Linked DNA regions of Xenopus tropicalis. The protein of the gene in region 1 interacts with the protein of each later gene in a biochemical or structural test. Links are inferred from orthologs where the notes say so. Each region holds a gene or a part of one and is shown in the gene's direction. Other genes may lie near its edges.

Region 1 (3,564 bases):
TTTGCATTCATTCCTTTTTTTAAGGAACAGTTTAACTGTCCAAGTGAAATATGGATTTTCTTTGTCCTGTCATTTTAGAATATGTCTGTTATTGTTGCCCATAATCTTATCACTGACCCTCTGTATGCTTTTCTAGTCAGTAGGTTTAATTTTGTGATTTTTACTTACATCTGCTTTTATGAAAATATAAGGCCCGTAGCACAAGTAACATTTCTCTTTTCGGAGGAAAAATGCCTGATAGCTTTATGTCGTTAAGATGGATGAAAACTGCCACCAGTGGTGACAGGTGGATTCTATTTACCTGAATGGCAGAGGCACAAATAGGTATTGATAGTTTTTCAGTTAGTTGACAAATGCTTACTGCAGTAGTGATAGGATGACGTTCCACTATATGGTGCTTAAAAAAGGTTGACTCCATGCTTACTACTAGACATGGTAACAAACTTTGGAACAATTTTCTTTAGTAAAATAAATCAGTCTATAACTAATGAACTCTTGTATGGCTAGGTTTAAATGGTGACAGTATTCAGCGTGCACTCTTTTTAACTAGTATTGCTCTCTTTCCACAGGACAGGAAGATTATGATAGATTACGACCTCTTAGCTATCCACAGACAGATGTGTTTCTAGTTTGTTTCTCCGTCGTGTCTCCATCTTCATTTGAAAATGTGAAAGAAAAGGTATTTTAAGTCATTTACTGTGATTATTCTTTTTACTATATTAAACTATCCTCAAACCAAAACTGTTTTTTTGTTTTCAGTGGGTACCTGAAATCACTCATCACTGTCCCAAAACTCCATTTCTGCTGGTTGGCACCCAGATAGATTTAAGAGATGATCCTTCAACAATTGAGAAACTGGCAAAAAACAAACAGAAACCAATCACTCCAGAGACAGCTGAGAAACTGGCCCGTGACTTAAAGGCAGTAAAATATGTGGAGTGTTCTGCACTTACGCAGGTGAGAAAACAGCAGCTATGTTGTAGAGCTTAATGCTCTCCAATGGTTATACTCTTAGACCTTCATTAACTTGTAGCTCTCAAGTAGATTGCATAATAGTTTAGATTTTGGACTAGTACAAATAGCTTGAAGGCTGATGCAGTATATTATAACTGTATGAGGAAGAAAAGGGTATTATGCCAAAAAAATAGAAATGTATTGAAATACAAATTCTGGTTCATATTATGGGATCAGCATCTACTTGATTGTTGTAGTAGAGTATTTTAAAACAGAAGATCAGAAAACACATTCCTTTTTTCTATATAAAATGTTATCATTTTGGAAAGTGCATTACAAATTTATGAAGACTGTAAATACACAATCAAACTGACTTTCCATGGAAGTATACAGGTATGGGACCTGCTATCCTGAACACTTGAGACCTGGAGTTTTCTGGGATCTTTCCATAATTTGGATCTCCATACCCTATCTACTAAAAATCATTTTAACATTAAATAAACCCAATAGGATTGTTTTGCCTCCTATAAGGATTAATTAGATCTTAGTTGGGAGCAAGTACAAGGTACTTATTACAGAGAAGAAGGAACATATTTAAAAAAAATTATTTAAAATGAAGTCTGCGGGACAAGCCCTTTCCTTAATTCAGAGTTTTCTGGATAATGTATACTATACCTGTATCTGAAAGGCAACCATTGTAAATAGATTTAGGAGAGTCCAGTTAGTACCTTTTGAAGTACCCTCTATCCATTTTTCATTTTATTTTTTGTTAACCCCTTTTTCTTTCCTACACTTCCTTTTCAAGGCATATATAGAACATGCTTGCTTTAAGACATTTTGTTGCCTCGTCTTAAAATATTATATTAACCTTGTTTCTTTAGAGCATGGGAGTTTTGTAGATTACTCTCATCAAGCCACCTACCCCATACAGGGCCAATACACCCAATTCAAGGAGTGTTCTCTTTAAAGAAACACTGTTGTTCCTGCTATTGCTGCAAGGTAATGTGCAGCCTAACAGCTTGGACTAACTCTTGTGCCTGCAGTAAACCTTCTGCTGTATTCAGGGGAATTTGCCCGATGTTTACATAACCTGCAGCCACTCAGTGCTTACATGAAAATAAAAGCTTTCTGCAGTTATGGTCTTCTACACAGTGGAATAGAACTTACTGGTCTCAACAGATTTAATTTACCACTCCTAAACTTTGTGAATAAGACAATTTGCCAGACTGTAGACTGCTTATCTTTCAGTTCCCCATGTATCCCCTCTGCCCTCAACTGCCTATAGTTATTCCCCTGCCTCTACATAAACCCAGTTGTCTTGGAAAATCCATTTCACTGGATTATTGCCTTGATATCGTATAGACCACTTGGCTTTCAACACAGACCTGCCAGATTATTTGGTTTACAGTGTTTTCCATTTTAGTAAAGTACATTTTTATTTTCGGTTTGCATTTCAGGTTTTTTTCTTTTTGTAATCACTTTTTTTCCTTTACTTTAAATTCTCAACTCAGCTGCAAGGGTTACGTAGAAGACTCAGTTTGGATCTGCCAACTGTATGCATGTTGTGTCTCTGTAAGGGCTCTGGCACATGGGGAGATTAGCCCACGACAAAACTCCCTGTTCGCGGGCGACTAATCTCCCCGAGTTGCCATGACCCGCCATCCCACCGGCGAACAGGTAAGTCGCTGGCGGGATGGCACGCGTGGCGGCGCGATTTCCCGAAATTGCCGAAAAAGACTCGCGAGGCTTTTTCGCTGGAGGGATGGCGGGTCATGGCAACTCGGGGAGATTAGTCGCCCGCAAACAGGGAGTTTTGTCGCGGGCGACTAATCTCCCTGTGTGCCAGAGCCCTAAAGCACTGTGGCACTATTTTAAGGATATTACTACTCGGAGCTAATTAACTGCACTTGGGGTGGCATCATGTACAGTATTTGGCATCATGACATCATGTACAATTTCTATTTCATGTAGGGTATAGCCATACACACACTTGTTCCATTTTGCAGCATGTTCCTTTTCAATCCGTTGGGTTATATACTTGGCTTGAACAGCTCCTAGGATAAATTTCTTTGTCTTGACATTTTTGCCCACACTTATAGTTTAAGCCTAGAATATAAATCCAGTTACTCAGCATTTAAAATGGCTTTCGACAATCCAACATTGTAATATGTAAGTGCCCCTGAACTTATCTTCTGCCTCAGAACATATTGCACCATTTCTTAAAGGTGTTCTGTCATGGCAAAACATGTTTCTTGTGCAACATGCAGGTAATAGTGCTCCTCCAGCAAAATCCTGCACTGAAAGAGCAAACCGCTTTTTTTTTTTATATTTAATTTTGAAATTTGATGTGGGGCTAGAAATGCATACTCTTAAGGTGGCCATACACGCACCGATATTATCGTACGAAACCTCGTTTCGTACGATAATCGGTGCGTGTATGGCATGTCAGCGAGCCGACCGATATCGCAGGAAGCTGCTGAAATCGGTCGGCTCGCCGATCGGCCAAGTTAGAAAATTTTGATCGGGCGCCATAGAAGGCGCCTGACCAAAATTCTCCCTTCAGAGCTGAATCGGCAGAAGGAGGTAGAAATCCTATTGTTTCTACCTCCT
Region 2 (4,114 bases), on another chromosome or scaffold:
ATGAAATCTGCAGCACGTGCTGGTTCTGATATCAGTAAGCAGAGCTTAGGATGAGAAGGGGAAACAAATACCCCAGTGATGATGTCCAGCTGGGGCTCCAACCCAATGGAATTGGGGTTCTACTGCATATTTCAGTGGTGACATTGATGGCCAAAGTTGCTACTGAACGTAACTATCACTGTAGTCATGTGAGGGGCTGATGCATGGGTTGGGTGGCTTTAGATGGAAATGACCTAAACATCACTGTATCACCGGTTACAGTTCCACTGGCACTATATGGCTACTTATACTGCTTGCCTATGTGTAACTGCTGCTTGGTGGTTCTACAATATGCCTGCTTAGAGTAGCTATCAAAGCTGGCAAAGGCTGATGCCAGTGGAGGGGCAGCTTCTCAGCCTGTGTTTTTCCCCGCAGGCCAAAAATCAGCCACTTGTGGCATCAGTTTTACCTGAGCCTGCTTTGATGGGAGAGATGGATTATTTTTCTTTCAAACCCCCTTCAGCGGTATGGCCCCTTCCTCCAGCTCCCTAGTAGCCAGGCAATCTTTCTCCTCATGAGGCACTCCAGTCTCTTTTTTTCCCCTCATTCTGTAAAGCAAAAGAAAGGTGAGTATGGTCGTTTCCACAGGGCTGATTCTAGGCCTGGGGATAAACTCATATACTGGCATTACCATTTTCCTTTGCCTGCACACCCTTGTGGCATTAGCCTTAGGTTACTGGCACACAGAGTTGTTTATAGGCTTTTCTCTGCCTGCTGTTTCTACACAGATGGAGATAAGTCATAACAGGATTCTGGAAACAAATGGAGAAAAGATGATCTGCCCTATAGCCTTGTATATAAATCACCTGATAACAGACAATGCTGCAGCACTTTTCAGGTCTATTTCATACATCCAGGCAGGGTTGCTGCTGCTTCTGGTAACTTAAAGAGCTTACATTTGAAATCAGAATTTTGGCTGTTATAGTGCAGAGAGTGTTATTGTGCTCTGCACTAGAAATTGATTATGTCAAACAGTAACAAATTGAATATTTACCTAAAGGAGCCTAAAAAACACAGGGTTAAGGCTTAATTGAAAGAAATAGAGTGCAGTAAATAGTATACACATCCCAGGGAAGGAGTTAAATACTGACGGAAAGGGAAAGCATAAAATCCCGCCACATACTATTGCCCAGAATGTCTCTTCGCTTATTGGCTGCCAGCATCTAGCCCCTCCCCCTTAGGTTCCTCCCAAATAATTTGCAGCGGGGCTGTGGCTGTGAGAAGCAGAGCTGGCTGATGTGCGCTGCGTGAGTTCCCTACTGTGGCTGTGCGATACTCCGACCCTGAGCGACAGATAGAGGGGGCTTACAGCCGCTCCCAACTCCGGCTGCGAACTCTGGGACGAGACGTGTAGTGAGTGCGTTTTCTATACACTTCTATATATGTATGCTGTTATTCCCACGCTGTTTTGACGTAGTTACATTAAGGACTGTGTTAGACAGCGCTAGCTCTCAGGATGTTGTGCAACTACAGCTCCCAGACTCCTTTGAAGTTCTGTAACAACTGTCAGTTTCCTTCAGACAGTTTTCATATGTTTAAGTACTGTGTTTCTGTTCGACTTCTGTTCATTTTATTGTGACTTCTGTAAATCTGTGCTAAATGTGCTGCCTTGTGTAGGGCTGCTAGCAGGTAAGCCATTTCCTGCATGTACCAGGCAGTTAGTGCTAACCAGGAAGTACAGATCTTTCTTTAGTCACATTGCAGATTTGTTTGTGGCTAGTTGCACCCAGTGTGTGTGTATGTATATATTATATATATATTATAGTGCTTATACTCCCTACATAGTGGTGTTACTCTGAAATGTTCACTTACTCAGGTCTATTTCTGCCCAGTTCCCCTCTTTTAGGACCTGTAGGACTTTGCTGGTTAATTCTTGTCTATTTTGGCCTAAATAAGTCTGCCAGGAATACACTAATAATCCCAACTGTATGTGAATTTGTTCGTCGGATTTACACATGATGGGTGAATGTCATTCCACCTCGTGAGCCGCCACTGTAAACAGTCACTGTCACATGCTGCTCTCAGTGCCATTAGAAAGGCTGAATAGGAGGTTCTGTGCTGAAATTGACAAATCCAGCTTATATAGTGTTACCGGTTATCGGCAGTGCTTTACCTGGAATCTTTTCTGATGCAGTAAGTCCCTGTGATGAGCAATGGTTTGGCCTCTGTGACAGGAAGAGGCCCCAGTATATCAATTTACTTTGTCCTCATATTACACACTGCCATTTCAATCTTAAAGGAACAGTAAGTTGCTTTTTTAAATAAAAGCCATCTTGTAAGGTTCATAGTTCAAACCACAGGATGATTGATTTTGGGGGACCAGCTGGCCAGTTGTACGTCATATTGTACAGTCGGGATACACATGTGGGAACACGCATTTCTCAAAGGAAGTGGCAGTGAGGCGTGGTATCTGTCGCTTCCCATTATATGAAAGGGTTTGGTAGACAGGTCTAGACTGGGATACAAAAAAAGCCCAAATAGTCCATGCCAGCCCATTAACTATCAGTGACTGTCTATGGCATCTTACAACAGCCCCACTGGCATTTGCCAGAATCCACAGATTGCCAGTCTGGGCCTTGTGGGGAAACTATCATGTATTTATTATCCGAAATGCTCATAACCTTGGCTTTTGCGGATAACAGATCCTTCCCTTCTGCCAGGTGCTTTATAATAGGGGATTTAGTGGAAATCGGCATGGAGTGAGGGTTTTGCAATTTGACCCGAAATAGCCAAACTATAATACTCTGTTTATGGCAGTGGAAAACAATTCTCGTAAGCCATTGAGGTATGCTGCAACACAATAAAGGGATATTATAATAACAGGTATAGAATGATTAGATTTTGAATTGCTCTTGTTAAATTTAAATAGTGTCAATAATGAAATAAGAACAGTTTACCGTCTATGAAAATGCTATAGATACCTTTTCTACTTCAATAAGGGAGCATATTTCCAGGCCATGATCTAGTTTCATTCAGTCTTTGGACTATAGCACAGTCTCTAGTAAAAATGGACCTCTATTTATATAAAGCCGCTGCATTGTGCAAAGATTATGTCAACTCGGTCCCTCTCCCAGTGGCGATCTAGGGTCCCTGTCAAACAGTGATCATTTGTTTCTAGGAGGCACCCCATGCAGAAATTGGGAGAGTGTACAAAATACACGTAGAACAACGATGTTACCTGAACCTGATGTGCCACCATGCAAATTCATGTTTACTACAAATTTTATTAAAATATATAATTCCATGCAGGTCAAGCACTTTGCCAGGGGCTACAACAGCAGCTTTGGTACCACCAGAGCTATAGGGTTAGGAAACCACCCCTGGGGTGGTTTCTTTTGGAAGTACAAAAGGCTTCATACAGCTTTTAGTTCATTACATAGTTCATTACATAGTTCATTACATAGATTTTGGATAGCATTCATTTATCTGCCATTTAGTTCCATACATAGGTGGCTATACATAACCCAATAAAAGCTAACCTTCCAGACCTAGTCAGCAGCTTATTGGCCCATGTATTGGACCCACTGATGGGATTGGCCAAATGATATCTGGATGAGAATAGAGCAGATATCAAAGGGACAGGTTTTATTTTTATACTTGACAAGGACCCTGTCAGCATGTTGGTGTCAGTCCTCATCTGACAGGACTTGCAGTCCCCTCTGTATGGGGTAGGATTGTCCTACTTTGGCCTAGCACGTGGGTGGCCAGCTGTCACCCCCCTGCTCAATAGTTTGGGAACTACTAATGTAAAATGTTGTGGGTTTCATTACATATATAAAGGCAAAACGTCTATTAATATATTCATTGTTTTTCGATTTAGTTAAAGATGAGTGGTTCCTTTTTAGATCACAGGATTGGTGTCCGTTTCTTTGCAACTACCACCAGCACATTGCTGTTTTTATTTTCTTCTGCTGTGAGTATGGGAACACAATGGCCAGAACGTGGATATCCAACCATGTTTGTATTTCCCTTCAGTACATGTGGCCTAGTTGCACTGATCCAACCAGCTGGGCAGATCACTTTGTTGCAATTTGTTTTATGTATAGGCAGTCCTGCATTTTGGTCTAAAACTGAC

What was found.
Region 2: the proteins of cdc42 (region 1) and cdc42ep2 form a complex in vitro, tested with the Homo sapiens proteins (3 studies listed by BioGRID). The link is inferred for Xenopus tropicalis from reciprocal best matches to the Homo sapiens genes CDC42 and CDC42EP2.

Annotation. Positions count from the first base shown.
Region 1 is NC_030683.2:94,425,858-94,429,421, reverse strand, and holds part of cdc42 (cell division control protein 42 homolog), read left to right. Parts: intron 1-569; coding exon 570-679; intron 680-759; coding exon 760-957; intron 958-3,564. UniProt on the Homo sapiens protein: Plasma membrane-associated small GTPase which cycles between an active GTP-bound and an inactive GDP-bound state. In active state binds to a variety of effector proteins to regulate cellular responses. Involved in epithelial cell polarization processes.
Region 2 is NC_030680.2:31,692,212-31,696,325, forward strand, and holds the start of cdc42ep2 (cdc42 effector protein 2), read left to right. Parts: upstream 1-1,307; 5' UTR 1,308-1,392; exon of another isoform or gene 1,393-1,396; intron 1,397-4,114. UniProt on the Homo sapiens protein: Probably involved in the organization of the actin cytoskeleton. May act downstream of CDC42 to induce actin filament assembly leading to cell shape changes. Induces pseudopodia formation in fibroblasts in a CDC42-dependent manner.